Linked DNA regions of Daphnia pulex. Each later gene encodes a partner of the first gene's protein in a complex. Links are inferred from orthologs where the notes say so. Each region holds a gene or a part of one and is shown in the gene's direction. Other genes may lie near its edges.

Evidence for each region.
Region 2: RNA transcription, translation and transport factor protein-like (region 1) and protein archease-like share a complex: the UniProt entries of both Homo sapiens proteins name them as parts of the tRNA-splicing ligase complex. The link is inferred for Daphnia pulex from reciprocal best matches to the Homo sapiens genes RTRAF and ZBTB8OS.

What each region holds. Positions count from the first base shown.
Region 1 is NC_060020.1:507,354-510,627, reverse strand, and holds RNA transcription, translation and transport factor protein-like, read left to right. Parts: upstream 1-1,110; 5' UTR 1,111-1,328; coding exon 1,329-1,389; intron 1,390-1,452; coding exon 1,453-1,752; intron 1,753-1,816; coding exon 1,817-2,181; 3' UTR 2,182-2,529; downstream 2,530-3,274. Other genes in the region: 4-hydroxybutyrate coenzyme A transferase-like, read left to right, coding at 1-72, 138-275, 347-472, 549-733. UniProt on the Homo sapiens protein: RNA-binding protein involved in modulation of mRNA transcription by Polymerase II. Component of the tRNA-splicing ligase complex and is required for tRNA ligation.
Region 2 is NC_060024.1:1,631,527-1,635,333, forward strand, and holds protein archease-like, read left to right. Parts: upstream 1-1,788; 5' UTR 1,789-1,807; intron 1,808-2,217; exon of another isoform or gene 2,218-2,381; intron 2,382-2,449; 5' UTR 2,450-2,511; coding exon 2,512-2,563; intron 2,564-2,646; coding exon 2,647-2,671; intron 2,672-2,727; coding exon 2,728-2,785; intron 2,786-2,865; coding exon 2,866-3,012; intron 3,013-3,074; coding exon 3,075-3,254; 3' UTR 3,255-3,298; downstream 3,299-3,807. UniProt on the Homo sapiens protein: Component of the tRNA-splicing ligase complex required to facilitate the enzymatic turnover of catalytic subunit RTCB. Together with DDX1, acts by facilitating the guanylylation of RTCB, a key intermediate step in tRNA ligation.

The sequences.
Region 1 (3,274 bases):
GCAAAATTGTCGGTAGCTTTTGTTTGGGATCCCGGCGACTTTATGATTTCCTTGACAATAACCCATTCATTGGTATTCAGTTCACATCATCTTTAACGGATTTTTTCTTCCATGTTATTAAATCTTTTACTTTGCAGTCATGGGTGATGTTCAGTGGGTTAACTCATCTTCATTGATTGCGCAAAACCCCAAAGTGACGGCCATTAATTCGTGCATTGAAATAGATTTAACTGGTCAAGTTGTAAGCGACTCTATAGGCACCAGAATGTATTCTGGTAAGCTTGTATTAACACAAATAATATTTTACTGAACCGTTTGTTTGAAATGGATGACGTTGTTTAACTAGGTGTCGGCGGACAGGTAGATTTCCTACGTGGAGCGGGACTTTGTCCCGACGGTGGCAAACCAATTCTAGCTTTGCCATCTAGCACGAAAAAGGGCGAGTCAAAAGTTGTACCCTACTTGAAACAAGGTATCGTCCCCCTAGTTTCTATAAATGCATTTATCACGTCGATTTGGCTAAACGATGCTTCTGTTCCAACATAAAGGTGCTGGGATTGTTACAACACGTGCCCACGTCCACTATGTGGTAACCGAATACGGTTATACAAACTTGTTCGGTAAAAATCTGCGCCAGCGCGCATTTGAACTCATCCGAATCGCCCATCCAGATCATCGAGAAGAACTTGAAAAAGCTGCTTTCGATCGCTTGGGCTGTATGCCCTCTCCTTGAAATTAACTAGCGGTTATTTCAAAAGCAAATATTTAACGAATGCTGTGATTGTCATTATATCTATTATCAATATTACAACTACAGTATTATCTTTTTTCTGCACCTTAAAAATTCTGCACCCTCCTTTTTATCCTTTAGTCTAATTGGTGTGATTTTAAAATTTTCGCTCTTTAGAGTCCAAGACTCCTAGAGATGTTTTATCTTTGTTTGTTTGTTTGATCTCTCAAAATTAATAGACTGTTCTGAAAATTGTCCTTGATTCAATAATTTCATTGACATTTTATGTAGTTCTATGTCCATCTGCAACTGGTCCGAAATTCGATTTTACAATTTTTCAAATTCTGAAAGTTGAGTTTTAATAAATTTGGCATTGCACAACAGCACATGTCGACAAGTACAAAAATAAGCAGACGAAACAGATTTTCTGAACCATCGTCATTCGTTGTCGGTTCGTTGTCGTTCATTCCATTCCTGTTTATTACTCATTCAGACTTTTTCAGGGAGCACACAATCAATATCCTTACTTATTATTTTTCATCTCACAATTTCTGCTCATCTGTGGAAAAAATTATTCACTCGAAATATTGCGTTAAAAATGTTCAAGCGAAAATTACAAGCATTGGGTTTTCCTAATCCCGATACCTTGAATACTGCAGGTATTACATTATAAGTGTGTTATTGCAATGAGATTTAAACTACCACTGTTTCTTTATACTTAGACGAAAAGCAATTTCGAAGCACTATTGTTTGGCTGGAAGATCAGAAGGTACGCCGCTACAAGATTGAAGATAGGGAATCTCTAAGGAATACAACTGCCGAACAGTGGAACCAAGCTTTTGAACAATATTTGAAGGATCTGGATTGCCCTTTTGCCAATGGTTCTAGGCCGGAAATTGTAGACTGGCTTCTTGGGCTGGCAGTGCAATTTGAGTTCAATGAGAAACCCGAAAGCTACACTTCAAGTCCTAAGATTCAACAACAAACTTCTCAGCAATCAAATCCACTTGACAACTTGGATTGTAAGAGCTTTTTATTTCAATATTTTTTAAATCATTGTTAAGAATTCTTTACATTTTGATGCAGTTGAAAGTGAAGATTTCAAAGTTGGGGTTGTTGAATTGGCTAACCTTCTTCAAGTTCCCAGACATCCAGATCATCTAATGACATTAGAAGGAATTTGCAATGTAATCCAAGAAAAGTTAAGTCAAGATGCATTGAAAGAGGCCTTGAAGACCAAGAATCCAGGAAACCCTGTTCAATTTGAAAACATCAGCTTTGGCTTGGACATAAAATCCCCCAATGTAAGCAGTGCTGCAAATGTCCTTCGTTATTTATTCATTCATGATCTAAGAGATCTCCAAACCAAAATCAATGAGTGCCTTGTATGTGTTCAAGCTCTCACTGCTAATCCCAAAACAGACACAAAATTGGGGAAAGTTGGATTTTGAGTGTATTTTCTTTCTCATGGCTAACAAGTTAAACTCCAAACATTTTTCACTGTTAACTTCCTTCTTGTTTTTTTTCCAACTGCAAATTCTTGTGAGTCACATTGAATGGGTAAATATTCAAGAGTCTTGCTGCACCCACTGATGCAAAGCCTAGTAGATAAAAATCATTTTGCATTAAAAAGATACTTTTCATCTGAAATTCAGTACCAAAGCTAGTGATTTGCATAAAAAGCCTTCCCCATTTGTGAACCGATTTCTTTGATTGATGTGCTATGTACGCAGCAGCTCCAATTAAACCTGTGGTTTAAACATATTGATATCTGTTACGAAATACACGGGTTTGTCATATGTCCTGTACCTGAGCCGCTTACAATCCTACAACCTAGGCAATCTTTATCCATTTCAATACAGTGATGTTAGCAATACAGAAGATGAGAAGAACAACTGGTGGTCTTCACTACAGATTTCTCCGACTATGAAACTTGAAGAAAAAGAAAGAAAGTAGAGATATAGGTACAACTAATGACGACCGATTCTCGACTTCTGTTTTTTCGAAGGTTTGTTATTGCACGCCGAAAGAAAAAAAAATAAACGTTTCGCAACGCCATCTAGCAATCAAATATAGAACTACATACTTTTCCTGCCCCAAAACGCGGAAATTTTCTCTGCCATAGGCCCATAGTCGGACATTTAAAATATTTAAAATTCAATAGAGTTCTACTGTCGAACATGAAAATAATTAAAGAATTTATTGGAGTTTTATTGTCGCGTAGTGGAGTTCTACTGTCGGGCACTGGAGTTCTATTGTCGGGTATTTTTAATAATATTTAAAAAAGGAGCTCTTATTTCATGTTATGTCTTTGGAGTTCTACTGTCGCATACAAAGAAATTTTTTCAAATTTAAAATATTTGGGTTCTATTGTCGGCGGAGTTATACGGTCGCCATAACGGCGGATTGTCCCCCCATCCGCCAGGTGGCGCGAGTGTCTTCGTGAGGAAGAAATATTTGCCATTTGTTTCCGAGACGTGACTTTAAAGTGTCTTCCAAGTTGATTGGTGTCGATCTACATTTTTAGCCATTTAATGTAATTGG
Region 2 (3,807 bases), on another chromosome or scaffold:
CAAGGCTGCTGATGGTCGTCGTCGGAGGAACCGGAAACCGGACCGGAAGAATCTTTCGAATCGGCCCAGTGACGCCAGATTGCTGTAGTGGTGGGGAAAGGAAAAAGAAGTGTACTCGAATGCACTCAAGACTCTCTCCTCGGTGAGTCTTGTCGCTGACAACAACCTCACAATTATAATTCCACACACTACCGTCTCCTGATTGATTCACACAATGTTCTGATGGCGATTGCAATTGGTTGAAACTATTTATCGGTTCATGACGAGTTGCATTTCATGCTGAGCTTGGCAATAATCTTCGCTGCCCAAATGAGCTACCAGGTATCGGTGCCGCCACTCCTGGCAACGCTAAATGGAGAGACAAAAATGATTTAGAAATGTTGGTAACGAAACTTCTTATTAGATCACACGAAATCTATATGATAACAAGTGAACAACCAACCTCTACGAAAACGGCAAAATAATTACTAGGGAAAATAACTAAGTCTGTTCAATCGCCCTTTCCACTAGAGCTCGCATCTTCGAACTAAATGAAGGGAAACCTTCAGTGCTTCAAACTGGGGTATAGAGCTTGACCTACTAACCTCGAATAATTCTACACGTATTAGCTTCAATGTCACCTATTCACCGTTTCAAGTTTAACTAAAAAAGAAAACTGGATTTCCTTGTTTGCCGATTGCCGTAACGTACACACAAGTGTTTTGTAAACAGTCAAAGGCTGGCCCAGAATCGGGGAAGCAAATTTTTCGTGAAGCTTATTTTTCAGTTGAAAGACACGTCAACTAAAAATAACTCGTCTTTCGCAGGCGAAAAGTCACGAGAATGAAGTGCGTACTTATTTTGGCCACTTGCTGGCCAACGCGCAATACTGCGGCTCGCCTGGAAACGATTGGAACGTTTTGGCAAATTTCCCAAGAGCCAATTATAAATAATATTTTACTTGGGTCAAACTAGAAAAGTTTTGCATTGGAGCTTTAATCTTATTCTGCATGTAATGAAAAATGAAGTAGTCTACTTTTTAGACTACACACTTTTAGAATTAACCAAAGTGCATAGTTATAGACCGAAACACAAATACAAAGGAAACCTAGTTGAATATGGACCATGAGAAATATGTGATTCTCATTGATAAAAGTAGAAGATGTCTAAGTGTCAAATTTCTAAAATCTATTTCCCCAAGTAGTTCACGCTATTCTGATGTTGAAGACAAATGCAAGTTTAAAGCAAGGGTGGAGTTCACCATTTCATACGTTTCAAAGACACACAAAACGTTACCTAACAACTAGAACTACAAAGGCTTCTTGAACTTGAACATAATTTAGGTTGGTAAAAAAAAGTACTTATAAATAACTGGTAAAATAAAATACATCCCCAATCAAATTTGTTACCTGAATGATGCCTGAGCACATTGAAGTAGAAAAACCAACGGCGAATGGATACAAACAGTCAATGGCGGATGTAAAGAGAAATAAGACGAAAATACGTCCTCTCCGTTAAGACTTGATTAGGAGAAAAACAGAAAAACTTGTAACATTTTAACTAACGATTATTAACTGTAGCACTCATACCTAAAATATGCATCAATGACGACCACCAACCGTTGGTTATATGTGGAAATGACAACCAAATAGATTCGCCTTTATCTCTGACGTTAATTCACAAGTCCAACTAGTCAACTATACTAGTAGGTGACTGTCGCTACCGTAGTTCACCGATAGTGAACGAGTCGAGAAGATATAATACTGGGAAAAGTTCGAGCTCTGTGCCAGTGGACTCACTGACAGGAAGACATCTAGCGGTAAAGCAAGTAAGATTCTGTACCCGGAAGGCCGGAACTAGCGAAGTAGCGATGGTCAGCGGAAGTTCATGTTAAATTAAATATAAAGCGAAATCATTTTTTTTACGTTGTACGTATTTCTGATGTTAAACCATAAAGTAAACGTACATTCTTGGTTAAACTACCTTAGCAAGACGGTGAAAAAACTTTCTTTTACAGCGGCATCTATCGTGGATTGAATTCAAATATCAGTATTGCCACGACATTCCCTTAAAAACGTTTAAACTCCTTAACCGACCTAACTAAACAGTGACCTAATTTAAATTTTAAATGACCATTTTTGAATGGTTGTGCTAGTAGATTTCCACTACAAGGCTGTCAATGTTGCATAAGAGAAAACCTTCATTATTGTCACAGACAGAAGGAAGATGTCGTTATAATCGAGTTTTTACTGACTCGTGGGCCGTGGCTTTATTTACCTACTTTGATCACGTCTGCTTTCTGCTAACGTTCATTCAATTTAAAAAAAAAAACGTGTTTATGAAAGAGTACAATCACTTTCCTAACTACAAAACTAATGTATATAAGTAAAAGGATTAAAGAAGTTGGTTGAAATTTGATAAATGATTTAGATTCCTTAAATATATTCTGTTCAATTTCTAAAATATCCAGGCATCAACTTTTGCAGTTATACTTGATAAACATTTGAAAAGATTGCTCCCTTCCCTTTGGAAATGACAGATCTAACTGAAGAGGAAAAAAAGATTCCTGTTGAGAAATATGAATGTAAGTAAAATCATGATTTAAAGTGATTAATTTTGAACAGTGATTTAAAAAAAAAATTGAATTGTAATCTTTATTTGCCTCAGATTTGGATCATACCGCTGATGTTCAGTAAGATTGTTCAATTATTCTTTTTTTCTGTTGGCTAAATGTTTTACTTTTAATAGGCTTCATGCTTGGGGGGATTCCTTGGAAGAAGCCTTTGAACAATGTACTCAGGCCATGGTAATACTAGATTGCCACATATCCATATTACCTACTACCATTATTGTATATTTGCTCCTTTTCACTGATTTTATTTTTAGTTTGGGTACATGACTGAAATTGATAAAGTGGAAATCTTGGAGAAGCATGAAATTGAAGCTCAAGGAGAGGATATTCAATCATTGTTGTTTCATCTACTTGATGAGTTCCTTTTCCTTTTTAGTGCAGAGCCATTCTTTATTGCTAGGGTAAAGTCAACCTTCCACATGATTAAACTATTGATTTATTCTATTCAAAATTTTCTGTGTAGAAAGTGAAAATCACAGAATTTGATCGCGTCAACTTCAAAATTGTGGCAACTGGCTATGGAGAAACTTTTGATTTGAAGAAGCACCCTCAGGGAACAGAAGTTAAGGCTATCACTTACTCTAACATGCAAGTTCATGATGAACCAAATTTGCATCAAGTCTATGTTATCATTGATATTTAAGTGGGAAAATGTGAAATACATCTGGATCAGTTGCCTTATCTTAATTTATTGATTGGTAAGCCTTTAATTTTACATTATCAGACATATTTTGCAATTCATTTGATATCTTTGTAAGTTCTGGGAATCTGGTATTCAGATCTTGAATGCTGGTGTCTAAATTTTTCTTATACATAAGTAGGTCATTTAATTTTTGGGTCCATTCATTTGTTCCTGCATTTACTGAACATACATTATCTGCATTAAAATATGTTATTTAAGAATTCATGATGAAATTCAAAAACAGAACTTCAAAGTTTACCTTGCATATCCAGAGCCTGGACTACATCTGAGTTGTTAACACAATTCATCATGTCTTTTTCCTGTTGCTCTGCAGTTGGAGGACTGGGCCTTTGTAAAAAAGTTGGCTTCCATTGAAACATTGTTTTATGTTACAATATTTTACCCTGCTATAGTCACTATAATTTGTAATAACACAAATTCAGAACGTTTTTAGATTATACGTAATTCAATTAATAGTGAAAATCACAGTTTTCAGAACTTAAAACAAAGTTCA